4 linked regions of the Struthio camelus genome follow. The protein of the gene in region 4 interacts with the protein of the main gene of each other region in a biochemical or structural test. Links are inferred from orthologs where the notes say so. Each region holds a gene or a part of one and is shown on either strand. Other genes may lie near its edges.

Region 1 (7,864 bases), about 1.7 Mb from region 4:
TAATTGTATTCAAAAGTCTGCCCAAGTCAGAGGAAAGGGAATGCTGTGGTTGCCAGTAATAGGAAAGCTATTAGGAAACACATCCCCTGGGTCAAATCCTCCAATGCTGAACTTGCAGTCAACCAAACTTCCCTTCAAGTCAGTGGAAGTACTTTTCTAAGTAAAGAATGAATAAGATATGAAGAAGGAGAGCGAGCCAGCAATGGAGGGAGACAGTTGTCTTGTGTTTAAACATGGGAGCAGGACCAGGAAATCCTGGACTCCCCTGTCCACTGAACCAGGGAATGACTGAATGAGTCTGGGAAGATGACTTAACTCCTTGTGCCTGTGGCCTCTGATTCATGGGCAACTAAAGCAGATGTCTGCGACGGGCTGACGTGCTGTCTCCCTGCAGCCATCTGCCCTGCTGCTGCAGTGCAGCAGATGAGGGTGTATGCTCCACAGCCTGACCTGCTAATACCAGCCTGTCTTTATCAGCAGTTTATGTGTGTATGGCCGACCGTAAGCTGAGCCACCTCCTTCTAAAGGGGCAAGGACTTCTGGCAATCGCAGACAGCGACACCAAACTGCCACCGCATGATTTGCTGCCCTTGTACGCCAGAGCCCTTATTCTTTCCTGCTGGGAATGGTTGCAATATCCCTCCACTTTAGGGGAAACTGGATGTGAAATCTAACAGATTAAGATTTGTGAAGTACTTTGAAATCCTAAAATAGCAAGGGTGAAGTACTGCCTTCGCTCTTTCTCTCACATGCACAAAATGGTACCTGTTTTTCATTTTATTTTGGGGATTTCCTGCAGCAAATTATGTAGTTATTTGCTCATTGGATTTGGTTTTCAGGTCCTTGATGTATGTTAAGCAGTTTCATTTTGATGTCACTGATGATGCTGTAGTTGCAGTATGACCAAGGAAGAAGATGGCTTAGCTCATGGTAGATCAAAATCGGATGAAACACAGCTATAAAATATATGAAATCAGAAAGCAGCGTAGAGAAGATACTGATCCTTTGTTGACATCCTCTAGGGCCAGGCCCACTGCTGATGCAAAGTGACATTGCCAGCTGAAACCCTTCTTCAGAGAAGAGCTTACAGAAATGGCCCTGTTGAATAACCAGCCTGATAAATGGCTTTAACCTTGATCCAAGCCTAAGTGTGATACCAGCTGACCATCAGCTGAGAATCAGACCTGCATCTACAGTGCTCCTTTAAAAGCTCCAGCTGCTGGTGACTCTCTTTAATTCATTATCATCATACCAAAAAAATGAGCCCCTTTATGATTCAGCAAAGAATAACATTGCTGGTCTGAGATCCTGGAAGCCTAGAAACCATCAGTTTTTTTTATTTTTACTCTGAAGGAATTTCCTTTTTTAATATTGCTGTGCTGTCTACTGCCAAAGCCAGGAAGTTGACTATCTATGGACAACAGTGACCAAAATTTGGTTTTCCTGGAATTTTCTCTTTTCCCTCCGCACACCCACACAATAGGCTTTTCAGGATGCCTGCAGTCTGTAATTTGCCTTTCTAGCCTGATAATGTGGCTTGCAGAAGCACCAGTTTTGCCAAGTCATCATCTGGAAGGAACACTTTCTTATGCAACAGGCTTCATCTTCCCCCCTCCGTGTCCTATGGCCCATGGTTGCCACCAAGGCCGGCTTCAGCCGAACCACCGTGCCAACACTGGGAAATGGGAGAAAGACCATGAAGTCTGGAATAGGGCCTGAAACTTTCAATTTCAAAAGGCACAGCCCAGAAAACAGAGGGATCAAGAACCCAGCGCTGTGGTTTCCCTTTGCCTGATTAAAGAAAATAGCTGCTGTCTATTTTTACTATAAATGTGGGACATGAGGTCCTTTGCTTTCCTTGTACAAAAGGGGGGATGCTGCTCACAATGAAAGAGTGAAGGAGTGGAGCACAAGAGGTCATCCCAGATTAAAACCAGCTGCCTGGTCCACAGAAATCTCTTCCATAGATTCTTCAATTTTTTTCTTTCAAGACAGGGACAGGATTGATCTCTTCCTTTTCCTATAGGTCATTATCACCATGCTGTCTGGTATTCCCAGTGCATTCACCACAACAAATCAATGATGATGCTATCATTAAGAATACGTAGCTAGAACATGTCTCCCCAGCCAATATTCTAGCTGATTAAAGAAAGACCAGGAGAGGGAAAGACATCTAACGGGCAATGAACTATATACCTTGCAGAAAATGAAAGCCATCTGTACAAGCGTAGAAAGAGGATTCTAGTGTGTGAAATCTACTGAGTGTGTTATATATGTGACCTTTGCGTCCACTGCCATGAGTAGTATTTTGAACTTCTAAACCTCTGATCAAAAAGATTTTTTCGTTTGCAAAAAAACACCACCTGAACACAGAGAACAAAGACTTCAGTCTTGTTTTGCTTGATTATTAACTATGTATGTTTGTTCTTGATTAAAAGACTGTGTTTTTAGATGACTGAAAATACTAAAAAGTACCAAACGTGTCGAAATGGCATACACAGAAGTAACTTATATGGCAGATGACTCAGTCGCTAACTCCTTTGGGTCTTTGTTCCTTAACTCAAAATGGATATACGTGTATATACTGAGGAGTACTCCAGCAGAACTCATCAGAGATGTTCCAGTTGCGTCCCCTTTATATGACACTGCATCCCCAAAGTCCTCAATTTCTACAAATTCCTCAATTTTTACAAATTCCATTTCTCCATTCCGTTCTGAACATGAATATTCTCCCCTACGATTCCAGACGGGGATTGCTGCTATGAGTTGAATTTCGGCTTATCTCAGTCTGAGTCCCTTTATCATTCCGCAGTACACCCAGAATGGTCTTTGCCCAGTAACACGGCACTATTAAATGGAATATACTGCCCTGAGCAAAGGAGTGTTACAGGAGTGTATGTACTACTGAGATGCTTCATTTCAGATGATAAGGCAGTCAAAACTTGCAGGGAATAATGGAAAGCAGCAGAGTGAGAGAAGTAGATAATCTAGAAGGTATTTCTCACCTTGAACATTTATGATTGTAATTAATCATTTGCTTCCACTGCTGCTGCAATTGCCATAGTACAGCACCATCCCAGTGACGGATGGTCAGAGGGTTATATGGGCCAGTCACCTCATTCAGACACATTCCTTTTCACAACCTGTATGAACTTTCGTAAAAACAGACCTCCTGAGCTAAAGTTTCCTAGTATGTTTTCAATTCAATGGGGAATTTTTAAATGTGCAAACTTGAAGGCGATCCATTATCCTGGTCTTCCAATTATAGAATCTGTTGTACATTTTATAGACTGTTTTCTGGCTCTTCCTGGTCTTCTGCTGATAAAAAGCAACTGTAAGTCTTCACATCTGACACACAAGCAATCCAGAAAGTAGGAGTGATTCCATGCTCTGCTTGGAAAATAAAATATTTTGAAAAGAAGACATTAGGAAGTTTGGGGGCATGTAAGAAGTACCCTCAAGGATATTCAAAGGAGACAAGTCTGACTGAACTGAGTTGCCTAGGAAAGTCAGAACATCCCAATTTCTGTAGCCAGTAACACAAGAGAGAGCCATGCGGCCGGAATTATATTCAGTTGCCTCTAATCTCCATACCCAAAAGCAATTAGAGCAAGTAGACGTGGGCTCAGGTACCAGTCCAGAGCAAATCCTAAGCATGTACTTCTGGACCTGCAGGGAGCCACCTCAGTCCCACTGGCACCACTCTCCTTACCTGGCATCACAGAGCCAATTCTTAGTTATCGTGTCCATTAGAGCAGTACCTAGCGTTCCCATTTGAGATGCCTACTATGCTGTGGAAGTCACAGTACAAAGTTATTTGAAAGTCTGTGTTTTCCCTGAAAAATAGGAAGCGTAAACAGCTGCTCAGTACACAATTTGAAAAGGCTAGTATTTCCAAACTATTGTTAATTATTTGAAAAAGCAGCAATGCCTGACAACCCTTATCTCTGCAGACACTGAGGTTGCTATCTTCTGTGGAGCCGCACCAGTGACAGCACGAGGGTAACTTCTGGAAGCAAGCAGGCTCAGTAGGGACCTGCTTGGGGTATGCACACAGCAGATTATGTTCATAGCCTTGAAGGATTCTGGACATAAAACAAAACAAAACAAACTATAGAACTAAATAATGAAGTTGTAAAGAAGAGGTAGATGAAGATGGAAACCTTCCAGTCAGTTCCAGGACTGTCCCGTTCGGACGGGGTGGCCGTGCCCTGGGCACACAGCTGGCTCTTCTGACAGCTCGGCACCGCCTTAGGCACATGGGAGCGCCCTGAGAATAAAGGGGGTGAAAGAAGGGGTCGATGGGGGATTGCTGAGAGACGGGGCGATACCGGGGGGGGGCGGCCGGAGCCAGCCCCCCCGCGCCGCTTCCTCCACCATGGCAGCGCCCCCCCCCCCCGGCCGCCCCCACGTGCTGGCGGCGCGCCGGCGCGCCGGCTCGGGGGCGGGGCGGCCGCCCGCGTCCGGCAAGGGCGCTCCAGGGCGGCGCGCGGATTGGCGGGAGGCGGCGCGGGCCCCGCCCCCTCGGAGCGCGGCGCTGCAGTGCGGGCGGCGGGTCCCGCCCCTTCGGAGCGCGGCGACTTCCCGGCGCCCCGCAGCCGCGCAGCCGAGCCGGCGGGCGGGCTGGCTGGCTGGCTCCGCGCTGCCCGCCGCCTCGCCTCCGGCCCCGCTCCCCCGCCCCCGCCGCGGGCTCCGGGCCCATGGAGCTGCTCTGCGTGGAAGGGATCCCCCGTGTGCCCAGGGCCGAGCGGGACCCGCAGCTCCTGGGGGACCGGCGGGTGCTGCAGAACCTGCTGAGCCAGGAGGAGCGTTACAGTCCCCACGCTTCCTACTTCCACTGCGTGCAGAAGGAGATCAAGCCCCACATGCGGAAGATGCTGGCTTTTTGGATGCTCGAGGTACGGCACCCTCCCCCCCCACCCCAGCCGGGTCCCGGCTTCTTTCTCCTCTCCCGCCTCAAAATCTAGCTCTGTGTCCGGCCACCGGCTCTTTTTCTTGCCCTTTCGTCCCTGCTGCTAGTGTGAGCTATGCTGCTCCGGCAGGAGAGAGCTGGTGGCGGCGTGCTGTAAAGGAAGGGAGGGGTGACCGTCCCACGTTCACTTGGGGGGGAGGGAGCTTTCAGTGGGGTTACTTCATACAGGGGGCAAGGGACAATCCAGGGAAGAGGTCTTGGCGGCAGGAGAGCCTCTGGGATGCGTGTGTGCCGGAGGTCAGGGCTGTGGGATTTGGGGGGGGGGGGTCCTGGAGGTGGCTGCGGGGAGGCAATCTGCAGTGGGGTCTTGCTGATGCGAGGGTTGGTTGGGCCAGAAGATGTGATTCCCCCTGTGGGAGGAGCAGCCCCCCTTTAGCCCAGCAGCCTGTGTTCACCCCCCCTCCCCCCCCCAGCAATGTGCTGCCACACCATTGTTGGCTCCTCTGTTCCCACCCTGCTCTCCAAAATTTCTGGCTAGAGCGCTCTGCTGTGCACCAGAGAGTCCAGAGACTTGAGTTTCCTGAATGGGGCTGGGAGCGCTTGCTTAAAGGGGGAAAATAACATCGCTACCATTTACTTCCCTAAGTTAAAAATGAATGCAGCTCTCTGTGGGAAACAGCCCAGTGGGGGAAATCTCATGGGCCTCTTTCTGAAACGGTCAGGGTGAGCGGTCTCAATAGAAAAAAGAAATAACAGATCCTGCAGAGGACAAATGATGTTCCAATTGAGCCTGGCTCCTGCTCTCCACCCCAGCAGCTGTCGCAAGCTGCCTGATCTGTCAAAAGAAGTAATAGAGCAACTTGCTTTTTTTAAAGGTTTTTCCCTCTTATCGTTGGTCTCTTTCTGCAGTTCGCTTTCTGAGGAGGTTAGTTAGATAAGTGTTGCTTTAGAGCCTGTTCCTTGTGAAGCTCTAAAGGCAGTCTAAAAGTGAATGATACTAAGCAGTTGTCATGATTGGGCACAAAGCAAAATTGGAGGCTTGTGCTATTTAGTCGCAGCTCTGGGGCCGTATGTTTGACCCGTTAAAATCAGGCCAAATTCACCTTGAACTGTAAGACACTAGAACTTGCACCTGAAATTGACTTGTCTTTCTCTTTAAAAACTGTGGAAGAAAGGAAAATGCACAAAACAACTGCCTTGCCCTGAGGGGTTTGTTCTCTTTTTAGAAAAAGTCTCTGTCCTAGGGTTTACAGCAGTCTGTGTAAGGGAAAGGCAGAGTAACTGTTTGAAAGAGAATGGTGCTGTTTGCTGCTGTATGAGGAGAAACTCCAATATTTTTATGGTTGCATTGAAAGAAGGAAGTAAATATGACCAGGGCTTTGATACTGGTTGAGAGATTAGAACAGGGGACTGAAATGGAGAACTCCTGGATTCTGTTTATGGCTGTGGTACAGGTGTGGTTGAGAAAGAGGAGGGGGAAGAAAGACTTCTGGGCTCAGCCACGGACTCTGCCATTGATTCTTCTTGTGTCTCTGGGCCACTTGAGGTGGAATTGTCAGAAGTGACTATGGCTCCTGCATGATTAGGTCTCCAGCTGGAGACATGCTGGAAATGATAATTTTCCTTAGAGGTCCTGAGTGCCCACAGAGCAGAAAATGCACAGCTTTGCTGGTTGTCTACCTGTAGACATCCCCAACAGGGGAAAATAAAAACAGGGGCAAGTAAAAGCAATTTTGGTCTTAGCTTGTCTGTGTGTTCTAACTGCATACCACTCTTGCAGCTTTCCACAGGAAAACAAAGTCTTAAGACACTGGTCAAATTTTCTTCTAGTGTAATTCTGTTCAAGTCTAAGATTTGCACCTGCAGCTGGTTTACACCTTAGCATGGAGGTGATACATCAAAGCCCTTCAGAAATGTGTGAAACACCATCATGACCAGAAGCTTTGAAGTTGTGGTGCAGGCAGGATCCGGGGCGCCGATTAAAACTTCCTCTTTTGTTATTGGATTTTGTCAGGTGTGTGAGGAGCAGAAGTGCGAAGAAGAGGTCTTCCCCTTGGCCATGAATTATGTGGATCGCTACCTGTCTTCAGTGCCCATGCGAAAAAGTCACTTGCAGCTTCTGGGAGCTGTCTGCATGCTCCTGGCTTCCAAGCTGCGTGAGACCATGCCCCTGACAGTGGAGAAACTCTGCATTTACACAGACAACTCCATCACACCTCAGCAGCTCCTGGTAACCACCCCTGTCTCAGAGCCCTCCGTCCCCTCCCCAGCTCTTATCTTCTACATGCTGCTACTTGGCAACGTACCTGTGTTTGTATCTCCTCTGTTTCCTTTCTCTTGTTTCTCCAAACGCCTTCCACCATGTTCCCCAACCAACCTTGCTTCCTTCCCGGTGGATGTTGCTGCCTGTCATTGGAGACCACCTCATCCTGCGCAGGCCCTCGCTCCCTGGGCTGGGAAGCAGCAGCGTCGCCTCCAAGTTAGCGAGAGAGTTCCCTGCGCCTTTTAAGTGCCCGTTCCCAGCACGGAGCTGCCACGCTGGGCTCGCTCCCATGCGCTGGTTCGCTCTCGAGTGACAGCTCAGGAGAACAAAGGCCCCTGTCTGCACAGCCGGCCGAGCACGCGGCAGGGGGCTGGGGCTGCCGGCCAGCGCCTCTGCCTTGCCCCCGCTGCCGAGGACTCTGTTTCTAGGCATGACGTGGGAGTTGCGTTTCCACATCAGCAGGAAAACGAAGCATTAAGTGGAGAGTAACCAGCAAAATGGGTGGGAGCTTTTGTGACACAGAATTCAACTAACCAGGTTATGCTATTCAAGGCTGACAGTGCTGCCAAGGTGATGGGGCCTGTAGAAACAGCCTGGAAGTACCTGAGAATTTGCTGCTGCCCAGGTCTTGCTACGCGGCTTTGAATTAAACCAGGGCCACTTGCCCAGTTGGACACTGAAGCAGCAGC
Region 2 (7,920 bases), on a different chromosome or scaffold from region 4:
ATAAGCAGGAGCATATAGCATCAGTATAAGACTGTTCAGAGAACTGATTTCAAGCCTTCTTGACTAGAAAGAATTGCAAGCTCTTAAATCCAAAGAGTCCTAGTAATACAACACACTCCCAGGCTCTGTTCAGTATCCTGTCTCTTAAAAAGATGAGTTCAAGTCTAAGTGCAGATTGCCACTTAATCTACTACAGCCTTATAGCTGTAGTCTGCAACTACAGCTATATAGCTGTGAGTCTGCAACTTACAGTAGTTTTCCTCCCCACGCCCATTTTTTTGCTTCCAGCTTTATGGAAAAAAGTTTCCTTGATGTGAAGGTAGGAACATTAGACATTGAATTTTGTTAGTGCCAGAGCTGGTCAAATGGCTAATCTTAAGACATCATGACAAGCTACCTATTACTGCAGGTAAGTTAGTTCAAATTAAAAAATAAGTTACAGCCTTCTAAGTTTTCAGGAGATGATACAAACACTTACGCAGCCAAAAGAATTGCTGCAGTTCCTACAAGCTGCAGCTTCCCTCTGAGGACAGACATGCAGGAAAGAAACCTGTCCAGGAAGTTCACTGCCAAGTACAACGTCTCCGTGCGAAGTTTGTATTCTTCCCCTACTTCCACAAGCCAATCTACCAAGATGGCACGCATTCCTGTTGTGATATCTGGTTGTTTCCTCATATAGTATGGCTTTGGCCTGTATCTTATCTGCTCAGAAAGACAGGTGAAGAATTAGGACATTCATCTGAAGATGACCATTGATGGCTGAGTTTAAGGTATTTCACACTTACACCAGTAAGCCAAAAGTAGCAGAAGTAGTTCAACAATTGATAGCTAGTTAGTATTAACTAGCTATTACTTGTAGTCGTATTAAATAATAGCACCTCTACTAAGTTGCATGCTAACAAGAGACAGGAGTAATCTGTTAGTAGCAGAATAGCAAAAGACCTCTTGGACACTGAAGTTCAGCCTTTGCCATCAAGGCCATAAAAGCCATTCAGAAAAAGGGACCTGAAAGTAACTTTAAACAAATCAGGTTTCTTCCTTATTGGAAGGTTGTTCTTTTCCTTACCCTTCTGCATCAAAGTGGCAAGGTAAAGCTCTCTGATAACAGGAGAGCTGTCAGTGAGGTCACATCCAACTGCTTTAGTTTTTTTGCAGCATTTGATTCCCATCTGCAAGAACTATTTCTGGAAATTTGTCTTTAAGAGTCAAAAGATGCTGTAACAATGAGTATTTCCAGGAAGCAAAGTAATATTTGCAAAATCTCATCACTGTCTGAAGCCAGATTCATAGGCAGCTTCTAAAGACTGTTTTTGCTACCTGCTTTCTCCACTTTTGTAACTCAGTAGCAGGCTAGGGTCATCTTGGGGCAGCAATAAGCTTTGCAGCTCATCACAGAGTCCACAAATACCTTAGAATTATAAACTTGTAACAAATCACTCACTTCAGCTTCTCGGAGGTACTGATGAATGTCTTCTGCATATTCTCCCACAGTCATTATAGTTATTGCATCTCCCATCTGATCCTCAGGTTGGGATTGGAAGGATGTATCCACTATCATAGGAGACCCTAACAGGTTAGAGGAGCCAGCAACACATTTGATTAGCCTCCTCACCTTACTCTTGTCATTTCCAACACAGCAGATGCATTGTTGATCACAGTTATCTTGAAGTGCTATTTATTTCAAGATAAGCTAATCACTAGCTTGTGCTAACACCACAATTCATAGCTACCCTATGTGGATCTCTGCTATACTACTCGGTTAGTAGCCAGAACAGTTACCTGTACTCAGATCCAACAGTAGGTGAATATTGGATGTCATTGCACTAGTATCCAGTTCACACAGGCTAGAGTCCAGCTCTTCAACCACTGGGCAGTTGTAGTTTTCCTTCTGTTCTGGTTCATCTATATATATAGTAAACCCTTGCTTTGATGTGGCATCGACCATGCAGCTAGGCAATTCATCTTTTCCAGCTGGAGGGAAGCAGTTTTCAGAGCCAGAGAAATGTCTGATAACCATAGTACCCTGGAACAGAGTACACAGTAATGCTACAAGAGGGCAGTTCAGAAGATGACAGTAATTATAGCTTATTTTAGAGAGGAAGAGGAGTTGCTTTCTTTGGCTAACACAGATACCAAAACTCTAGAAGTTAACCAAGAAGAGAAAAAAACAAAAGAAATTAAAAACCTCCCCATAAACACAGAGCTACAAACAGCAGTTCAGAAATCTTGCTTGTTACTGTCTTGCTATAGTAGACACTTCACAGGCAAAGCGAGGTATACTGAAAGGTAAGAGCCAGGCGAGTCCTGAATAGCCTCTTCACCACTGCCTGCAAAGGCAAGCCAGCTGAGGCCAGCCCCATCAGAAACAAGCAGTGGCAGGTATGGGCTCTGCTCTGTCTGCAGTTTTTGCAAGCAGTGCTTATTTCAAGGCATAGCAAGCTAAAATATCACATGGAAGTTTTCAGAAGCTACCACAAACTCATGAAAGACTTCCCATAAAAGGAGGCACTTCATATTGAGTTACAAACCACAGTTTGCACCTCAGGACTCCAACACCTCAACACCCAGGGACTACAATGTGTGACCAGCAGGCAGTGCTTAATATCACTCACTTGTAATAAGCCATCAACTGAGTTAGGGGCTTTACACAGTCACAGCTGCAAAAAGCCCTTGTATAGGCACCAACTGCTACCTCAGCTCCAGCAAGCCAGCACAACGCTTCTGCCACAGCATCTGATTTCAGGAGGGCTTGAAAGGTCCAGGACACTCACTCTTCTGCAAGCTTTAGCTTTCTGGTGGGTACTCTGGCACCCACCAGGAATCACGGCCAGCCGCGGAGCAACGGGACCTTTGGGTCACCAGCAAACAGGCACCTAAACTTCGCCACCCCCTACCCTTCGTGGGGCGGGGGCAGTGCTAAGGCAAAGCCTCCCCGAGTCTCACCTTGCAGGAGGCGCTTCCGCCCGGAGCGCTCCCAGGGCCACGCCGGCGGGGGCGGTTACCGCAGCGGCCGCCTCCCTCCAGCCCCGCTACCTGCGCGCCCCCCCCCGCCGCTGCTGGGGGCTCACCTGGCCGCCGGGCCGCCGCCGCCGCCGCTGCTGCTGCCCGTTCTCCGCCAGCTCCCCCAGCACGGCCCGCCCGCCGGCGGCGCGGGGCTCCGGCCGCCCCGCACGGCTCTTCTCCCCGCTGCGGCGCATCGCCCCCGCGGGAGACAACAGCGGCAAACAGGCGACGAGTAGTTGTTGGTTGCGGCGCCGCCGCCTCGGTGCTCAGGGAGCGCTGCTGGAGAGTGGAGCCGGCCCGCTGCGCTGCGCTGCCGCCCCGCCGCCCCCTATATAGGCCGCGGCCAATGGGCGCCGGCGGCGGCTGTTGGCTGCGGCCAGTTGGACGCCGGGGCCGGCAACCCCCGGCCGCCGCGGCCCTGGCAACCCACGCGGCGGCGGCGGCGGCGGCGGTAGCGGCGGCGGCGGGTCGCCATGGAGACGCCGGCCCGGGGCCCGGCCCGGCGGGTGCCGCAAACCGCCCCGGCCGCGCTGCTGCCCTCGGCTCGGGGCACCGGCCGAGGCGGCCTTGGCCCCGCCGCCGGTGTCATCGGATTTTGGCGCAGGCAGGAGCCCGGCGGAAGCGAAGAGAGGACCGTAGCTTAGCGGCGTTTGATGGAGATACCGGGAGCGGTTGGGAGGAGACCGACGGAAGCCGGCCGCGGCGTTGAAGGCCGCCTGGATGGCGGATATGCCAAAACCAGCAGGCGGCTTCGTCTCCGGAAAAAGGAGGGCTCAGCAGGCCTGCCTGGGCGTGGGGGCACGCGCCGAAAGTTCGCGCTAGGTTTTGCTGCATCCGAAATTCACCTCCAGGCCTTTCTAGCGTTGGCATGCTAGGGTGAGCCGGGCACCCTCATGTTTCGGGAGCAAACCCCGAGGGACCTCGCCCCACCTCTGTGTCAGCAAGAGCAGGGCCCCGAAAAGCCTCGCACAAACCCAAGCGGAGCAGAGGCGCACCACCTCCGCCCGGAGATTTTCACTTCAGTCCAAGCAATCCCACGCAGCCAACTCCAGCAGCGGCCTGCCCGGCCGAAAATAGGAGAGTCTCATTTTAAGCTCTGATAGGCTTCAGATATCAGCTATGTTTTCCAGAAACAGAGAGTCGTTATATATAAGAGTCTAATTCTTTCAAAAGTGAAAAAGAGCTACTCCGCTGAGCTGTACAATTGGTGGCCAGGGTCAGAAATTGCCAAGAACTAGCTGAAATCAGGTGTCGGATTCTAATTTTTCCCCTAGTATTCCTGTGCCTGCAAGTGTCAATGTTCAGTATGTAGGGCAAAGCGAGGCTGATCTAAAAATTAAAAAAAAAGAAAAAGCAGTTAAAGAGTAAAATAGTAGGTGTACACATACAAATTCTCCCAGGGTGAAGAAAGGTTTGCAATAAGAGAGATTTTCATTGATCTCAAAAGCAAGAGGGAATATATGGGAAGTGGAAGGTAGACCAGGATGACCACAGTAGTGGGATTAAAACAGTTTATAGGGTCAAAATCATAAGAAAAGAGCAAAGATAGAGCAAGGCAAAGCTAGCAGGAGACATGGAGAATAACATGAAGAAACTGACGGTTACACTGGTAACAAGAGAAAGACTAAGGAAGGATTGGTATGCTATTCAACAAAAAGAGCAATTTATTCACAGAAGACATCAAGAAAGCTAAAGTATTTAATTTCTTTTGACATTCGTTTTCACCAAGAAGATTACTAGTGACCAGGAGACTAGTATTATGCCAGCAACAGAAAGGACCAAAAAAATTTGTCTTTAAATAAGGAAGGAACAGGCAGGAAGGAACCAGCTGGACCTGGTAATTTTCTCCTGATGCTATTGAAGAACTTGGTGATGAAAACTTGGAGAACTGCTAGTTCTCTTTGAGAGCTCTGGCAGGACGGGCAAGTTACAATAGAAAGGTAAAGGGATGCCCATCTTGAAAGAGGAAAAATAGGGAGTCAAGATTCAAGCCAGATTAACTCGAAATCCCAGAAAAGTGTGAGAACTAATAATTAGTTATTAGCAACTATTGAGTATTTATAAACACCTAGAATATAACAAAAAGTTGTACAAATGACAGCATCAGCTTGCTGGCAACAAATCAGATCAAAACATTTTGAATTCCCTCAGTGATGAAGGAAAAACTGGAAAAAGGAGATTTTAGTTGATTTTTGTCAAGATTTTACTCTCACGACACTTTCATAAACAAATCTCAGCAAGGAGGCAATTACAAAACTGGTTGCAAAGCTGTACATAGAGAAGTTCTCAGCAGTTCACTAAGGGCATGCAGAGTTTTATAAAGTGAATTGACATCTGGAGTTGTCCAGTGTCATCAAAGATTTCCACCAGTGATTGGGATAATGAAATGAGAGCACCCTTACTAAATTCGTGGATAGCATAGCATCATGCTGATGCATGATCACGCGTGAAAGGCTGCGACTATGCTGTGAAACAAGACTAGATTTCAAAATGATCTTGACATACTGGAAAATGTTCTGGAAAAGTAGGATGCTGCTCAAAAAAAGACAAGCGCAAGGTTCGACCTCAGTCATTTTGTTTTTTACCTTTTTTTTTTTTAATGAGAGGAAGTAAGCGGTATATCTCAAGTTGAAAAACGTTACCTGTTTGATGTACTGGCCATATACCATTACTTTTCCTTTTCCATGGGAAGAGTTCCATGTCCTTGCGACAGTACGGTTATAAGCAGGTATTAAAACAGAGCTGTCACAGTTTGCAGGGCGGGGGGTGAATGCAGGTCATGGGTACAGCAGGTTACAATGTACGCTTCCTGGATCCTGTGTCCTTCTCTGTCTTTCATGTCATCTCAAACCCCTAGATAAAAAGTGTTTTCCAGAACTGCACAATAAGCAAGACTTCACTCAGGGATACGTCTTGAAACAATTTCATGCAAAGTTTTAATTTCAGAAAAAAATCGGTCTAGCTCACAGTCTTTGAAATTAAACGTAGCCTCGAGTGCAACTCTAAACACTCCTTATCCCATTGTTTTGATGGGATTATGCAAAACTCTAAAAATAATCCTATGTAGAAAATGTATATAATCTATAGCAGTCTGAGAAGATGGATGTTAATCAAAAACTTTGCTAGATGTATGGACATTCCATGTTTTAACTAAAAATTTCAATTTTTATTAACATGTCTAAACAAAGGGCTTTTGAAATCTACATATTTTATCCATGAAAAAAGGCCATACTTTTTAGTGATAAAGGAAGAGAGAATGGGATTTTTCCATCAAAGTGAAAATTTTCAGTGACCTCAAATCACAGTTTAGCAACATTATTTTACTTCATGAGTATCAAGACTCCAATATCAGCCTCTAAGTATATTTTAAGTAGGGAGCACTACTCCTCCGACCTTAAATAGGTGCTGGTTAATAGTTTCAAAATCTTTTTTGAAAAGAATAGAAATTGTATGTCCAAGAGTAAAATGTTAAAATGCAAAACATAAGGGAATGACTTAGGAAATTAACTGCCTCAGAACATGAGTGAGATGATAGTTCTTGGGCTCAGATCCCTAAAAACATTTGCATCCCCAAAGTAATGTCAGCATAGTCTGGCCTGTCACTGACAAGGATTGCCTGGCTTCAAGCCACCCAAGGCTGCAGCCATCCTTGTGCCAACACTAGCATTTGGGTGGTCATGAGACAAACCAAGGACCTGATCCACCTGAAAACAAGCACAACAACAACAATAGCAAAATATTTTTTCCAAGTGAATCAGTTATCTGCTCTAGGTTTCTAGACAGCTACGTGAATTGTAGGGCCAGCACAAAGGACATTACAAACGTGCAGTGCCAGCATCAGGGTAGTAGTGGGGGTGATGCCATTCCCATCAGCCCCCAGCTCAGATTATGCTGGACTAAGTGTCCGTGTAAACATAGCTTCCTTCCCTTTAGCCTTAGCAGACTTAAACTCCTAAACCTCTTTAGACCTAGCCTTCTATGCATGAATAATTTTAAGTGCTTTTTAATTTTTCATAATTTTGAAAAATTTATCTCATCCTTAATCCATTTTGAAAATATTAGTTGTTCTTTCAAGGGATTTTCCTCTGGTGGTGCCAGAGCTGTTTTTCTTTTTCAGTAAAAGCATCTGGGTATGATATTGAGATAGATGAAACATTATGCTAGTGCTTATTTCCAGGAAAGGTAAATGCTGCTGTTGTGAACAATTCCTGTAGCTTATCAAAGTAATCTTACCTCTGCTCTGCCCAGACCTATTTTCCTAACAGCTCAGTGTCTCTTTATGGTATTTATCACAAAAAATATATGAACTTTATAGTTACAGATCTAACACATAACTTGCATTCATACAAAGATCACAAAAGTCACTCATAGCCAAATACAGGAATGGAATTTATGTACTAAATTTGTCTTAAATCAATGAATGTCCTTTATATCCAAATACCCATCATATTCATATGCCATTTAGGCATAACCAAAGAATGTCATCTATCCAACAATTTTTTGTTTCACATACAAATAGCATATGGACATCTTCAGTAGTCATATAATACATTAATGGAACTGAAACACCTCTCAAATAGCTTATAACGAGGTTATCCAAGCTCCAGTTTCTCAGGAACTCTTTGAGATAGCCCAGTATGGACTAGCACCTGAGGGAGGCCAGTAAGCTTTGCCAGCCATTACTTAATTGTAGCAACAGATCAAATCAAGCTTTGGGTCATTAATCATTTACCTCTGAGCTTCCCTGTGTGTGTGTGAGAGAGAGGCAACTGAAGCCTCCCTGCATGGACTCCTTAGAGCTTCTCTCAGTAATTACTGTCTCATTGAAGACTATTACGATTTCTAGGAAGATGGAGAAGTCAGATCAATACCTGTCTAGGCGAGGCTGCTTCCTCTATGGCCCTGGAAAAGCTAGTA
Region 3 (6,909 bases), on a different chromosome or scaffold from region 4:
AGTAGACTTTTTCTACTGCTGCTGGAAAGCACCTCCGAAAGGAAAAAGCAGCTATGCAGGAGACAGGGGCCCTGCTAACAGTGCTGGTAGTGTCATAGAAGTGGTGGGAGTCCCATGGACAGGTCTGGAGTCCCTCAAAAATGGGATGGGCCAAAGGCAACTGCATTTTGAGAAGTGCCAAGAGACTGGAGCGAGGGAAGCAAAGCAGCTTTTCCTGGGAGGAACTGGATGCCCACACTGATTGCAATCATTGCACCCTCCCAAGCCAGCATTCCTTCCTCCCCTGCTTTGACGCATAAGCAGGAGCAACACAAAGATCAAATTCAGGAAAGGGCAGAAGGGTTTGCATTGGGGATATGGTGTAATACTGGTCAGCCAACCAGGTTAACAGCTTTTCTCAAGAGGAGACGTTAAGAAAAGTTTTGCTACTGAAACAGGTCAGGTTTCCCCAACTCTCACTAGGATTCAGGCCCTCTACTAGTGCTGCAGCCTCTAAAGTTAATTTTATTTATTTAAAACTGTGCTGTAAGTGCCAGTGGTCAAGAAAAAAAAAGTAGCAGTACCTGCAAAACATCAGCTACTTTTTAGTTTTACGATTGTAGGAGGGGCCAGGAATAAAGCCTACGTGCCATTTTAGGTCCTGCACAAGCTCTGAATATGCAGCACTCTTGTCCCTGACAAGGGCCCCCAGTCACCAGCTGAGCCTTTTTGAGGGCACACTACTGAATGCAAGAAAGTAAGACTTAGTACAAAGGAGTTGAGGTTAAATTTTTTATTTAAAAAAAAAAAAACACCACTATTCAATTTCAAACAATTATATTAATGTAGCTGTCTTTAAAAGAAGTGGTATGGTTGTAGACCAACTGCTTAAGGGTACTCTGGTTCTGAAAGCTTGTAGCATAAATAAGTTTTCCATCAATATCATAAAATAACTTATTATATATCTTAGAATATAAACTTGAGAATTAACATCCCAAAATACAATAAAATTGTGTGTAAAAGTGTTTTGATTAACCTTTTTGCTCTTTCATGTTTAAGGTACTTAAACCAGAAACTCTAAGTTGCACTTTAAAAAACCATTAAGGGTGTTGGGTGTTTTAAGTAACTCAGCCATACAGTGTCTCAGCTTTTCCGGCAGGCTTTAATTCCTTTAGCAGCACAAAGGCTGCTCGTTCAGCTTCGCTTCCGTGTTCATTCCCATCGCTTGCCAGCTGCGGAGTCACTTTTCTTCAGTCCCACACAACATGTAGATTGACTTCAGTCTACCCCACTTGACTTCAGTTTTATTTATTTATTTTTTTTCCTCCTGTAATCCTTGTGTCAGGGTAGGGAGTTACTTCCTGAGCAACTGCTAAAGCATTTCAAAACTTCAGTGCAATTGTGTTCAGCGAGTTTCCATCCGGCTGCTATCACCGCTCGGGAAGGTTAATCACAGGGACCCACTGATCCATGTAGCGACTCTCCCGGCAGAAGCACATCAGCTGACTCAGCGCCGGGTCCTTCCACTGGGAGGCATGGGGGTGCTGGAAAAAAAAGGGAGAAACGGGGCTGCTTTAAGAAAAACGACCCCCACGAAGACACAAAGCAGAGAATCCAAGACTTCACTTATCTTGAATTAGAAAAACAAGGAGAAAAGCATGCACAAAGCCTGCCGTGCATCCTTGAGCTCACACTCAGATGACAAACAACTTCCCGAGCCCTTCACAGGCAGCTTCTCCCGATCCGCCCACAGGACGCCCCCAGCCCCTGCACCCTGAGCAAGGGCTCGGGGGAGGGGGGGCCTGCACCCCCTAACGCTCCCGCTTTACCTGGCGACCCTCACGGCAACACCCAGCGCCGCTGCCTTGCGGGGCCAGCGAGGGGCAGCGGAGGAAGGCCCGGGGGTGGGACGGGGGGGGCTGCTCACCGTGACCAGGACGCAGTGGAGGTCGGCGGGCGGCCCGGCGGCGCGCAGCAGCTGCGCCAGGCGCGCCGGGTTGCTGACGCGGAGGATGTTGATGTCGTTCTCGCAGCAGAAGGCCTGGAGCAGCGTGAAGTGGATCTGCAGGGCCACGTCGCGGCCGTCCTCCTCGTCGGCCGCCAGCAGGCACAGCACCACGCTGTCGGCTGCCCTGCGGGACGGGGGAAACGCCGTCGCCTCAGACACCGCCGCTGCCGCCTCCGCCTCCCCCCGCCCCGGCCCGGCCGCACTCACACGTTGAGCAGCTTGGCCGCTTCGTAGACGCCGATAGTGATGCTCCGCTGGCTCAGCGCCTTGCTGAGGACCTCCTCCAGCGCGTCGCCCACCGCCTCCATCCTGCCGACACAGCCGCGCTCAGGACCGGACCGGACCGGACCGGTCGCCGGTCTCCGGCCCCCGCCGCCCTCCCGGCCGGCCCTACCTGCCGGCGGCGCCGCGGTCCCCCGGCAGCTCCTCCAGCGTCATGGCGAGCGCGTCCCACCCGCTCCGCGTCCCGCCGCCGACTGCACCGCCCGGCGCCCCGCGCGCTGGACCCTGCCGGCGCCCGGCCAATCCGCGCCGGTCACATTTGCATGAGCGCCTTCTAATTGGACCATGCAAATGAGCTCCGCCCCGCCCCCCACCGCCTCGCCTCGCCCCGCCCCGCCCCGCCGCGCCCGGCCGCGCGCCGGCAGCCTGAGCCTGTTGCTGCGCGCGGCGGCTGCTGCCGGCTGCGGCGGGTGGCGCGGGCGGGCCGTGTGGTGACCGCGGCACCCGGCCTCGTGTGTTGACCGCGGCACCCGGCCTCGTGTGGTGACCGCGACACCCGCTGTCGTGTGGTGACTGCGGCACCCGCTGTCGTGTGGTGACTGCGGCACCCGCTGTCATGTGGTGACCGCAGCACCCGGCCTCGTGTGGTGACCGCGGCACCCGGCCTCGTGTGGTGACTGCGACACCCGGCCTCGTGTGGTGACCGCAGCACCGGCCTCGTGTGGTGACCGCAACACTGGTGTCGTGTGGTGACCGCGACACCCGCTGTCGTGTGGTGACCGCGACACCCGGCCTCGTGTGGTGACTGCGACACTGGTGTCGTGTGGTGACCGCGGCACCCGGCCTCGTGTGGTGACTGCGACACCCGCTGTCGTGTGGTGACCGTGACACCCGGCCTCGTGTGGTGACCGCGACACCCGGCCTCGTGTGGTGACCGCAGCACCGGCCTCGTGTGGTGACCGCAACACTGGTGTCGTGTGGTGACCGCGACACCCGGCTGTCGTGTGGTGACCGCGACACTGGTGTCGTGTGGTGACCGCGGCACCCGCTGTCGTGTGGTGACCGCAGCACCCGGCCTCGTGTGGTGACTGCGACACCCGCTGTCGTGTGGTGACCGTGACACCCGGCCTCATGTGTTGACCGCGACACCCGGCCTCGTGTGTTGACCGCGGCACCCAGCCTCGTGTGGTGACCGCAACACCCGGCCTCGTGTGGTGACCGCGGCACCCGGCCTCATGTGGTGACCGCGACACCCGCTGTCGTGTGGTGACCGCGACACCCGGCCTCGTGTGGTGACTGCAGCACCCGGCCTCGCGTGGTGACTGCGGCACCCGGCTTCGTGTGGCACCCGGCCTCACGTGACACCCAGTCTCAGGGGGTGCCTGGCCTCGCGTGGCGCTCAAGGCACCAGGCTTTCATGAGGCGCCGGGCCTTGCGCGGTGCCTCTCCCCGCGTGGCGCGTGTGACTAACCGTGGCTTAGCCAGGGAGAGCACGTCGACTGCGCCTCCCCTCCTGCAGCGGCTGGCGCCCCCTCTGCAGTAAGAGTGCTTGGCCAGAGCGTCTCTGCATGCGCCTCTGCATGCGCCGCCCACCGCTTCCAAAACCTGCTTTCCCGAGTAAAGAGCGGTGAGCAGGGGTAAAGCAATAGCTCCGACTTGTTTTATTCAGAGCTCAGCTACGAAGCGCACAGCCGGTAAATCGCCCTAAAGCGTTCTTCGTAACGCACCAAAATGCATCTCTTCGCTCGCCCTCTTCTCAGGACCGAGTCTCCTCCTAAAGGTCCCATTTGTTAAAGCAAATGATTGATGTAGGAAATGCTGATTCACGCAGCAGAAATGAGAAAACTTTGTACCGAGACGAAGATGGGGAGGGAGTGTCCAAAGGTAGAGCTTGTCAGGGCTGGTTTGGCCATTAGCCACGTGCTCGGGGGAACACGGCCCCGTTTCTAAAAACTTGAAAAGCTAAAGTATAAAGGTATGCCCCCACGGATGTGTCTGAACTTGCACTTTCTCTGAGAGGAGAGCTTACTTAGCTGAATTTGCTCACCTGCTTTTGCTGTGTGGTTTCTCAGGAGGAGAGCCGAGCCGTGTGTCGGAGAAGCAGTGGCGCCTTAGCTCTTGTGTCATACAATGGGCAACACCTATTCAGAGTGAACACATCATCTTAACGTCCCCACATTAATTTTCTTTTTTTTTTCCCCTAGGATAGGCCAAGCCCAAGGTCTTTGGCTCGTGGCCAGCCAAGCTCCAAGTGACACAGTGTTTGCCTGCTCCTACTTCAGCGCAGGTACTTCATTTTCCACCATTTCCGTTGTGAGTCAGCGTTCCAGACATCCCTGATTTACAGTGATAACTGGGAGACAACAGCTTCGAGCATGGTCTGTACCCTCAGACAGAAGTCATGGGAATACTGCCACGTAACGTTTAAGTTGTGATCAGGTACGCACTTACTACAGAAGTCACGAATCTTGCTCTGGCTTTCTATTCAGTGAGGGAAAACAGGATTTGTCTAGGAAAACTGCATGTCTTTCTGTACCAGAGCATTTTAAGAGTATTTGGATCCTGTCACGCATTAGGCCTGCACAGATCACAAGGCTGGCTTCAAATTCACAAATTCACAATTAAGATGAAGTTTTCTTTTTTTCCTTCAAGCATAAAGATTGCATCCTTATTATTCCTGTTTCAATGAAAGCCAAGGCACTCAGGAAATAACCTCACTAGCTCTTTAAAACCTAAGCACAACACATTGCGAAATATCTAGTACAGTCTTTAGCATTGGCAAGAGTGAAAGCAATATTTTGACTTGTGGTTTTCAATAAGAATGTGATAAAGTGGTCACTTGGCTTAATGTCATTAAAAGAGGTTTTTACAGTGTACAGTAGTATAGCTGTAGCTGCATTTAAAAAGTGCCAAGAGTAAATTGAGGAAGGCGGGCGGGAACTGCGTACTGCAGATAGCGTCTGTCCTGAGTTGCACAATGTGACCTAACCTACAGCCTTGGAGACAGTCTGAGATTCTGGGTACGCAAGTGCTGAGGTTAATGTCCTGTGCATGTTATCATCCTTCCAGGAACTTGGGAGTCTTCCTCCAGTTTTTTTTTTTTTTTTTAAAACAAGCTCCAAGTTTCACGTCTGCATTGTATCTTGGGACATGTTTTCTGATCTGTATGTGTTGTGACGTCTTTTGTTGTTTTTGAATTACCTCCTGCTTTTCCTTCATAAAAAAAGTCAGAAGCTTGATGAGACCTTTTCACCAGAGATTCTGAGTGAAAGCCAGGTTCCTGCCCTGAAAATGTCTGTACCCCCAGACATCTGCCTTATAGGACATACTGCTGCTTCTTATAGTATTTGGGACACTCTGGTGGTTATCAGTGTTGGACCCAGGGGAGGTAAATAAGGCAACAGAGCCTTAAAATACGTGCTTTGTTTATAGTAAACACTGTAGTTTCACTTCCAGCCTTGCTGGTAAGGAAAGGTGACATGGCATATTGAGAAATACCACAAGCTTCAGCGACAGCTTCAGGAGCTCTCGTCTCAAACTCTTACGTCAGAGCTACAGGACGGATGGTCTGCCCCAGGCAGCCAGAGGCAAAAGGCACATCAAAATGAGCGACTTCTCTACTTTTCAGCAAGATGTGTTACGTTGCTTGTGCTGCAGTAGTTACAGGTACCTCTAGCTTTTGGGGCTGGAAAAACCTGTTGCTCATAAGTGTATTTTTTCTGAAGCCAGAGCTCTGCCTGCCTGCAGACACACTGGAGCTGGTGAGGCGAGCGCTATCAACAGGGAAGGCAGCCTGGAGAGCAGTGGGGGGCCCGGGTCAAGACTGTGGGGCTAGTCCAGGTTGAGGCCACGGATGCTGCAGACACGCTGTTAGCAATACCCACGCTAGCTTGTTCACGGCAAGCCTGGATACGTCCACTCCACGTGCTGGCGTATCGCTGCTGAGTGAAGGGGAAGCTCAGGCCATGTTTCAGCTGAGTGCCATCCTCTGTAGGAGTGGAGAGGAGACAGAAGTGGTTTCAAACAACCTCTGAAGACTTTGAGGGGAAACAAATCCTTTCCTTTCAGGTCGTTCGTCCATCTGTTTGTGCGGTCGTTCAAGGTCCGTTTGGGCTGTGGTGCCAGCTGCAGAAAGGGGTGGGTTCCCTGCAAGGCAGGATGGCTTGGCTCCCTGTCTCGTTAGCGCTGGCCAGCACAGCACATGCCCTGCTTCACGCTCTACCGCTGTTCAGACCAGTGCTGTGTCTGCTTATGTGTGTTTGGTACAACATTAGATCTTGAATGCAACTAATGCTTACTCCCAGCTGTTGGATACCACATCACTAGAGGCAGGTCGCTCCTGCAGATGCAGAGGGGACAGTCTAAGGTGGCTCTGCATGGACAGACAGGTGGACGGTTGGTGCACCGTTAGGCTGGTTGGTACGTGGGCAGTGTCAGCCCAGGGACTGAGGATCTTTCCAGATGTAAGTAGTGCAGCAGTGTAACTCTGGAGCATGGCTGGTGTTTCCCGACAGCTAAAGCTCTTCATGCATCTTTCTGGTGTAAGAAGTGATTCCCTTGGTGTCTAGTTTGGCTCATGTTAAGCCACGTTGTAATTTTCCCGTGAGTCACAGGCATTACAGCTTGTGTTATTAATTGTAAGAAATACCTTTCTTGACCATCGTGTGAAGCCTGTAATAGTCACAGAGCTGTCCTGATTT
Region 4 (8,086 bases):
CCCCAAGGACCCAGTTTGCAGCCAGGCAGAGGGATCCCTCCCCACCTCTCCATGCCCAGAAGCCAGCCAGGGCTCTCCACATCCAGACACCCAAGTCCCCTCCATCTCCCCCTGCCACGGGAGTCAGGGCACCAACCATGGTGGTCATGACACCATCTCACCATGGGGAGATGCCACTGCCAGCACAGAGGGACACTAAGCCTCCAGCACTCACCTTTGATGGTGGTCTGCCTGCGTTTCAAGCGCTGTGGGGAACCAGCCGTGCAAGCCTCAGAGCCCTGCTGAGGCACCTCAGAGCAGGCCTGGCCAAGACGGTCCTTGGAGGGTACCTTGTGGGCTGAGGAGCAGCTCCAACTCCCACTGCTGTTGGCCTTGGATGGGCTGTGCAGCTGCTGGTCAGCAAAGACAACCCTCTCCCACTTGAAGCATCCTTCCAAGGGTGTGTCTGTCTCAAAGTCAAAGTTCCAGCGGTGCTGGGCTTCTTCCAGCTGTTGCCTCAACAGGTCCTGGAAGTCATTTTGGAGCTGGTGGTGGTCCACAGGGCCAAAGAGGTTCCTGCACACCTTGCTGCTGCAGGGCATCTGCTGGCCAGCCCTGCTCTGCGACAGAGGCATCGTGGCAGCTGCAGGGAGGAAAGCAGCACTGGTTACAGGGGTGTTGCGCAAGCTGCAAGCAAGCAGGAGGGCCAGCGTGTTTGCTGCCAGAGCAAAACGTGCAGTAGCCAGGCTGGGCAAGGCTTGGCCCCACAGCAAAGCTAACAGAGTGGAAACCTCCCTGCCTCTGGCTGCCAGACCTGGCCTGGGACTCAGGCATTCAGGATTTCAGGGGTGTCTTGGGCAGAGGGAAAGACTTGAGCACAACTGAGGTCAGATACAACCTGGGTGCAGCTCAGGAGGATGGGGAAGGGGCAAATACTGAAGTTTACTGTTCCTCTTCCACCAGGTCCAAGAGCTACCAGAGCTTCTGACACATCAATGCAGCCAGTTGTGCTCTCGGCACTGGCTTGGAGCCAAAACCCCACTGGGTTCCCACCCCAACATGGGCACAGGGCAAGCTTGCACACGGGCAAGTGAAGCAATAGGATGTTTTTCTGCCCATTTCTTAATCTTGAGAACCCAGGCACGGTGGCACGGAAGCCCTTTGAGCAAGCAGCAAGAATACACCACAGGCTCAGCCACTTTGCTAACCATCCTTGTCATCTGCAAGAAGCTGTTGGGTAACCAGGGACAAGACTGTTTCAGATCGATGCCAAGAGCCTTGACCTTTATGGTTAAGTAGCAGAGAGCCCTCCATCCAAGCAGTCCCCCTCCTCACACAGGCATGGGATCCCTTCCACAGCCCACAGTTGCACCAGGAGCCTCTTATCTGAGCAAGGCAAATATAACCCTGGCTGGGATTCGATGGTTTTCCAAGCTAGGACTTGATCCTCTTTTGGTTAGCAGTATTCATTAAATCTCATTAACAGATTCACAGAAAGCAACCCACTCCCTGCATGCATGACAGAGTCCTCGGTCTTCTTCTACCCGATTAGGGAGCTCCAAAGCTGGGACTGCTGCAGACCCCCAGGCTCACACTCACCCCACTTCCCCAAGTTTGGAGTATTCAACCCCCAGCAGCGTCAGCCAGTGCCAACCCAGCATGGAAAACTGCCCAAATCCAGTGCTTAGCCCCTTTTGAAGCAGCTGGCATCTCCTGCTCCACACACACCACCACGGGCAGTCAGTAGACCCCTGGGGAGCCTCCAGCCCCATGTGCTTCCCGAGGCTGCCCCAACCCTCCGCTCGCGTTGATCCAGCCCTGCCTCAACCCAGGGCCGAGCATCCCCGAGTATAAATAGCAATTCAGCTTCCTATCTCGGAGCCGGCTCCGCGGGTGACCTCATCGCCAGGCAAGTCCCAGCATGTCCCAGCAAGCCCCGGCAGGTAGCAGTCAGGGAACGCATTTCGACATCGAGCCAGACGCCCGCCAGCCCCTGCACCTTGTGGCAGCAGCGTCACCCTGACTCAGAGCACGGAATCGGTGCTGGAGCCACCAAATCCGGAAGGACGGGGCAGACGTGACCTTCCCCTCCCACGGGGCTGACTCGGTCTCACCGTCGTCTCAAAAAACGAGAGCTTCCAGCTGGAGAACCCTGACACTGGGGCAAACAGGTGATGCAGGTTCATGGTTGCATTAAGAAAACCTCACCCAGCTGGAGCTGGGAGATCAAGGCACTGTTTGGGGAGTCGAGATGTACACACACACACCCCCCCCCAGCAGCACTGCTCACCACAGCCACCTGTGCAACACCAGGACCTACCCTCCACCAGTTACACCAGTTTGTGGGAAACACAGGGGACAGGAGAGGCCAGGAGCACCCCAGCACAGGGCTGCTGGAGCTCGCTGCAGGTGGGCCAGCCTGAGCCAGCTGCCTCTGCCCTGCAAGAGGGGCAGAGTGCAGAGGATGCCCCACTCACGACACTGGTGAGTCCTTGGGGCTCTCCAGCAAGGAGGGCTATTTTGGAGCGAGGTCGCCTTAGTCCGGCGGAACACGCACGTCTCCAGATAACAGCTTAAACTGGAAACCTCCCGTTCCCCCCTCCCAACGGCAGCAGCCCGGTTATTTTCGCCGCTCCGAGGCAGCGGGCACCGACGGGGCGATGCTCCGGGCCGAGCCGAGCCCCGGCCCCGCAGTGCGCCCCGCTGCCCGCCGGGGGGCGAGCGCCGCCCGGCCAAGGCGCCCCGGTCCCGGGGCAGCCCCGCGGCGGGCAGGGGACGGGGCGGCTGCGCGGGGCCGTCGCCCCCCGGCCGCCCCCTCCGAGCCCGGCGCCGCTCTGATGCAACCGGCCCTGAGTCAGCGGCGCGGCCGCCCCCTCCAGCGGGGAGCTGCCGGGGCCACCGGCGCGGGGCCGCCGCCACCGCCCTCCCCGTCTGCCTGTCGGGGCTCCCCCCCCCGCTCCGGCTGCCGGTGACGGCGGCGATACCGGCCGCACTCACCTCGCCGTCCCGTCCCGTCGCGTCTGCCGGTGCCCGGCGCGTCTCGCCCCGCTTTATACCGGGCCGGGGCGGGGCCTCGCCGCTCGCTCACCCGGGATTTCCCTCCCGCCCCGCCCCGCCCCGGCCCGGCCCGGCCCTGCGGGGCAGCGGCGCTCCCGGCTCGGGGCTCCCTCGTCCCGGCGAGCCCCCACGGGGCAAGGACCCCCCCCCAGTCCGAGGATGTGGGGACCCCCTGTTCCGGCGACGGGGGGGACCCCCCCCCCAGGCTGGGGATGCAGGGACCCCCGGTCCGGGGATCCGGGACCCTCCCAGTCCGGGGATGCAGGGACCCCCCGGTCTGGGGATCCGGGACCCTCCCAGTCCAGGGATGCGGGGACCCCCCGGTCTGGGGATCCGGGACCCTCCCAGTCCAGGGATGCGGGGACCCTCCCAGTCCGGGGATGCAGGGACCCCCCGGTCTGGGGATCCAGGACCCTCCCAGTCCAGGGATGCGGGGACCCTCCCAGTCCGGGGATGCAGGGACCCCCCGGTCTGGGGATCCGGGACCCTCCCAGTCCAGGGATGCGGGGACCCTCCCAGTCCGGGGATGCAGGGACCCCCCGGTCTGGGGATCCGGGACCCTCCCAGTCCAGGGATGCGGGGACCCTCCCAGTCCGGGGATGCAGGGACCCTCCAGTCCGGGGATCCGGGACCCTCCCAGTCCAGGGATGCAGGGACCCCCCGGTCCGGGGATCCGGGACCCCCCCAGTCTGGGGATGCAGGGACCCCCCGGTCCGGGGATCCAGGACCCTCCCAGTCTGGGGATGCAGGGACCCTCCCAGTCCAGGGATGCAGGGACCCCCTCCCAGTCCGGGGATGCAGGGACCCCCCGGTCTGGGGATCCGGGACCCTCCCAGTCCAGGGATGTGGGGACCCTCCCAGTCCGGGGATGCAGGGACCCTCCAGTCCGGGGATCCGGGACCCTCCCAGTCCAGGGATGCAGGGACCCCCCGGTCCGGGGATCCGGGACCCCCCCAGTCTGGGGATGCAGGGACCCCCCGGTCCGGGGATCCAGGACCCTCCCAGTCTGGGGATGCAGGGACCCTCCCAGTCCAGGGATGCAGGGACCCCCCCCCCAGTCCGGGGATGCGGGGACCCTCCGGTCCGGGGATCCGGGACCCTCCCAGTCCAGGGATGCAGGGACCCCCTGGTCCAGGGATCCGGGACTCTCCCAGTCTGGGGATGCAGGGTCCCTCCCAGTTCGGGGATGCGGGGACCCCCCAGTTGGGGGACATCCTGGACAAGGGATGCAGGGACCCCCCTCCAAAAAGGGATGCAGGGGTCACCCTCCCCCTCTAAGTCCGGTCCTTCACCTTCAGACAGCAAAGCTGCAGCTGGGGGTGGGGGGCGGGGGGGGACTCCACGTCCCAGCCAGGCCTTTCCCAGGCAACTGGTTTTCCTGCCTGCTGAGTCGCTGTAATGTGGAGGATTTAAATGGGGCTGGGGGGGGGGGGTGATGAATTAACCGAGGGGACGACTCTGTCCCCCAGGCTGCCCAGCCTGGGTGATGCTCCCCGGCCGCCAGGCGCTGCCAGACCCTGTCCGGGGGCCAGGCAGGTTGCAAAGCCGGAGGGCACCCGTGCCGTGCGTCCGTCTGGCTGCACGGCGGTCGGTGCGTGGTGTAGGAGAGGGGTCGGCGGGGCTGTTTGTGCCCCGAAGTGGGAGAGCTGATGCCCTCGACGCCGGCGGTGCTGGGGGCGGGGGGTGTCGTATTCTGCAGCTTCCTCTTAGCGTGGAGTAAACAGCCCAGGTGGAAAGCACCTCTGAAACCACGATGTGGGCAACAAGGGGGCAAATAAAGCTGGGTGGGTTTGTCTCTTTCGAGGTACAAAAAGCTGCGTGTTTTCAAGTGACCAAAACCACCCAAGTTAAAGTGCTCACTTGCAGTTGTTCTTCCAGGGCGGCAGGCACCCTCGAAGCCCCCCGGAGCGGGTGGGTGCTGGGTGCTGCGCCCTCCTGGAAGCGAGACCCTCAGCATGCAAAACACCGGCCCGTTTCCCGGCTGCACCAGCAGCTTCCCCATCGGTCCGGACAAGTCGAGAATATGTTTGGGCATGTTCAGCTGGAGACTGTCCCGCGAAGCGGCTCCCCGGCGCAGTCCCTGCTTGGCCGTGCCGGGCAAGGCCGGCGCAGACCCCGCGGGCTGGCGGCGGCTCCGGCCCCGCGCGGCTCCCTGCACCGAGCGGGCACGGTGGGACGGGCAGAGAGCGTCCCTTCACCCCGCAGGACAGCTGCGAGCCTCCGGGGAACGCGAAAGCAACCCAAAACGATGCTGTGCATGGCAGAAAAAAGCCAAGCCTGGCAAAGCTAGACCTAAATGCTCCCCTAGATTTCGCTGCGGGGTTTACTGCAGTGTTTAACGTGGCAGGGGCTGGAGCCTGCTCGGAAGAGCTCGGAGCTGGTGTCCGCTGTCCAGCACGCTCTCAGATCCCGCCGGGCTCGGCTTTTGTAACTCATGCGCTCATGCATTTAAATTCATTCTAAAAACAAGCACAACAAATCCAGCCCGTGTCTCTCTGTCCGTGGCACGCAGCAAGAGCAGCGGGGGAGCTGGAACAGCCTTGCCTTTACGGGCAGCCGCTGCTGCTGTGTTCACGTGAGAACGGTTTTTGCTTGTAGACCTGCACTGCGGAGAGGTTTCATGCTTCGTAATACATTAGCATATCATTTGCTCGCAAAATGCCATATGAGCTGCAGTGTGTTGGTTCGCTCCCCCTAGATTTGATAAAGACGCAATCGGCACCGAAGGAGAAGCACCGACACGGTTGCAGCAGCAGCAGCAGCAGCGCGGGGTGCATCCCCCACGCGGTACCTCCGCCTCCAGCTGCTCGCAGGGACCGCAGATGAAGAAGCATCCACCGAAAGGATATGAATTCCTTAAATGAGCTCTTTTTGCAGAAAAATGCCGCAAATCAGCAAAAGGGAACGGGACTGTCAAAACCAGCCGCTTTTTCAATGAGCGCCCGAGAGCGGCAGGCGAAAGAGCGGGCTTGTTTGCCCAGTCTGCCGCTAACTGCAGTGAGGGAGGCCGGATTGAAACAGCAAAACAGCGAGAGAGAACCAACCAAGGCGTCCGGCCGGCGCGAAATCCCCAGTTACGCGGCTTTTCAGGAGATACGTCCCTCACTAAGGCGAAGCCAGCCAGCAGCTAAAAGCGGACGCAGGTTTTCCCGTAGAAAAGCGACTCCCTAATTGTCTCTACCGTTTCTGGATGGGGAAGGGTTTAGGGTCCACTTAGCGCAAGATGGCAGGTTTCTTCCAGCCTTGATTTTAACAGGGACCCGACTGCTCTCCCGCCACCCGCCGCCCCCGGTTTTGGCAGGGGCAGCAGCCGCCGAGCCGCTCCGGCCTGGCTCGAGGCGGCCCCGTGTTGGCGGCTGGGCTTGAGGAGCAGCCGGGCCCCAGAGAGGGTCTGAAAGACCTCGGCACGGTGGCTGATCAGAAACGGGAAGCGGGGAGAGGACTGGCGTCGGGTCGGAGAGTTCACGGTCACCTCTGTAGTGACAGCGAGAGAAAAAAAAAGGGGGGGGGGAGGGAAAAGTGGTGATTAATAGAAGGCGGGCCAGAAAGGAGAAAAAACCCAAGGTGACTCATGGTGTTGAGTCCTTCTGGGGACGAGGAGCAGCCGAGGCGCCGGGCTGGAGAGCGGCACCGGCGCTGGGCTGCTTCCTTCTCCCCGTCCGCTTGTAGTCAGCAGCGGTGTCAGCTCTCCTGTCCCAGCATCACTCTCCTACCAGGGCGTCCCCAACCCTGACTCACAGGGTACCCGCAGCTGGTTGGTAAAAGCGAGCGTGCCCTGGCCTCATAATTTGTCTGTAAACATGCTCCGAAGGCTGAAACCAAAGGAAAAGTAAAATCACAGTCCTCAAAGCGCCTGTCTTCCACGGCTGTCCAGGCTGGGACGCCCTCGGCTGCTTCCCGCCCCGCGCCGGGCCCGGGAAGTCGCTCCGGGCACGGATGCGAAGCAGTGATTCCCGGGTGAGTCACCGGGACGCAGCGCCCCGCGCCGTGCCGGGAGCGGGTCCCAGCGGATCGTCCCGACACCCGGTTTCGGCCTCTCCGGGGACGCGGTGAGCAAACGCCCAGCGGCCGAGCCCAAATCCTCCCCCATCGGCCGCCGCGCTGTCGGGTTTGAAACTCGGTGGCCCCAGGGTATAGGGGAAGCAAGGTTTGTCGGGAAACGCAGTATTCCTCTTACATCGACTAGTATCAGCGGAAGAAACGGGAGCGGTTCAGGCGGAGAAGCCTCCTCCGGGTCTTTAGAGATGAAGCACCGGGTTATTTTTCCAGGTAGGATAAACGGAGGCTCTGCAAAGGCCTGAGTTACCGCTCTCCGCGCTCGGGCGCAGACCGCGGGGGACGAGCGCTCGGGTGTTTGCAGCCCGGAAGGACGTGGGTCCTGCGAAACGCGGCCGGCAGCACCCTGCGGATGTGGCATGGCCCGGTCACCCATCGAGCACGTGAAGCCCCGGTGGCTTTTTTTCTCCCTCGACCAGCCGTCGCTTGCGAGAGTAGGCAAAGGAGGTGTGAAACGGCTCGGCTGGGTGAGCAGGGTTCGAGACGCGTTTGACGGAGGGGTAAGAGGCTCTGCCGAGGACAACGCCACGAAGCCAAGCCATGAATGTTCAGGCAGCAGAAACCTCCTCAGCAGGATTAAAATCGCCAAGATTTCTTTATTATTATTATCTCTCCTAACAAGCTTTTTTCCTTTTAAGTGGGAAATGCGAAGGCTCTTAATGAAACACTCACGCTCCAGCAAAAGCCTAAAAGAAGCCAGTGTTCGGCCGAACGGCGTTTACATCCCAGCGAAGCCTGTTTTCCCATCAGCTCTTTGAAGTGCCCAATCAAGTGATTTTTAGACTAATAGGATTTTCCCAGGAAAGAAAGGCAAGAATGACAAAACGCTGAATGCTTGATTAACTCTGCCCCTAAAAGGACTTGGATCGTGTTAATTGACTGTTTCCCTGCCATCTCCAGCCCTCGTTTGCTCCATTTATGAAGGCATTTTGATGAGACACCGGCCCCGGCAGAGCGGCGGCAGGATCCCACCAAGCGCAAACGGTGGGATGAG

Evidence for each region.
Region 1: the proteins of CDKN1A (region 4) and CCND3 form a complex in vitro, tested with the Homo sapiens proteins (2 studies listed by BioGRID and IntAct, with this or other methods). The link is inferred for Struthio camelus from reciprocal best matches to the Homo sapiens genes CDKN1A and CCND3.
Region 2: the proteins of CDKN1A (region 4) and CCNA1 form a complex in vitro, tested with the Homo sapiens proteins (2 studies listed by BioGRID and IntAct, with this or other methods). The link is inferred for Struthio camelus from reciprocal best matches to the Homo sapiens genes CDKN1A and CCNA1.
Region 3: the proteins of CDKN1A (region 4) and GADD45A form a complex in vitro, tested with the Homo sapiens proteins (3 studies listed by BioGRID). The link is inferred for Struthio camelus from reciprocal best matches to the Homo sapiens genes CDKN1A and GADD45A.

The regions. Positions count from the first base shown.
Region 1 is NC_090965.1:6,405,985-6,413,848, reverse strand, and holds the start of CCND3 (G1/S-specific cyclin-D3), read left to right. Parts: upstream 1-4,581; 5' UTR 4,582-4,700; coding exon 4,701-4,898; intron 4,899-6,926; coding exon 6,927-7,142; intron 7,143-7,864. UniProt on the Homo sapiens protein: Regulatory component of the cyclin D3-CDK4 (DC) complex that phosphorylates and inhibits members of the retinoblastoma (RB) protein family including RB1 and regulates the cell-cycle during G(1)/S transition.
Region 2 is NC_090942.1:196,579,166-196,587,085, forward strand, and holds the start of CCNA1 (cyclin-A1), read right to left. Parts: upstream 3,308-7,920; 5' UTR 3,198-3,307; coding exon 3,069-3,197; intron 2,976-3,068; exon of another isoform or gene 2,613-2,975; intron 2,024-2,612; coding exon 1,780-2,023; intron 1,567-1,779; coding exon 1,442-1,566; intron 703-1,441; coding exon 479-702; intron 1-478. UniProt on the Homo sapiens protein: May be involved in the control of the cell cycle at the G1/S (start) and G2/M (mitosis) transitions. May primarily function in the control of the germline meiotic cell cycle and additionally in the control of mitotic cell cycle in some somatic cells.
Region 3 is NC_090949.1:37,060,753-37,067,661, reverse strand, and holds GADD45A (growth arrest and DNA damage-inducible protein GADD45 alpha), read right to left. Parts: upstream 2,519-6,909; 5' UTR 2,426-2,518; coding exon 2,382-2,425; intron 2,297-2,381; coding exon 2,195-2,296; intron 2,112-2,194; coding exon 1,907-2,111; intron 1,524-1,906; coding exon 1,410-1,523; 3' UTR 758-1,409; downstream 1-757. UniProt on the Homo sapiens protein: In T-cells, functions as a regulator of p38 MAPKs by inhibiting p88 phosphorylation and activity.
Region 4 is NC_090965.1:4,719,847-4,727,932, reverse strand, and holds the start of CDKN1A (cyclin-dependent kinase inhibitor 1), read right to left. Parts: upstream 3,041-8,086; 5' UTR 2,977-3,040; intron 1,828-2,976; exon of another isoform or gene 1,579-1,827; intron 623-1,578; 5' UTR 615-622; coding exon 215-614; intron 1-214. UniProt on the Homo sapiens protein: Plays an important role in controlling cell cycle progression and DNA damage-induced G2 arrest. Involved in p53/TP53 mediated inhibition of cellular proliferation in response to DNA damage.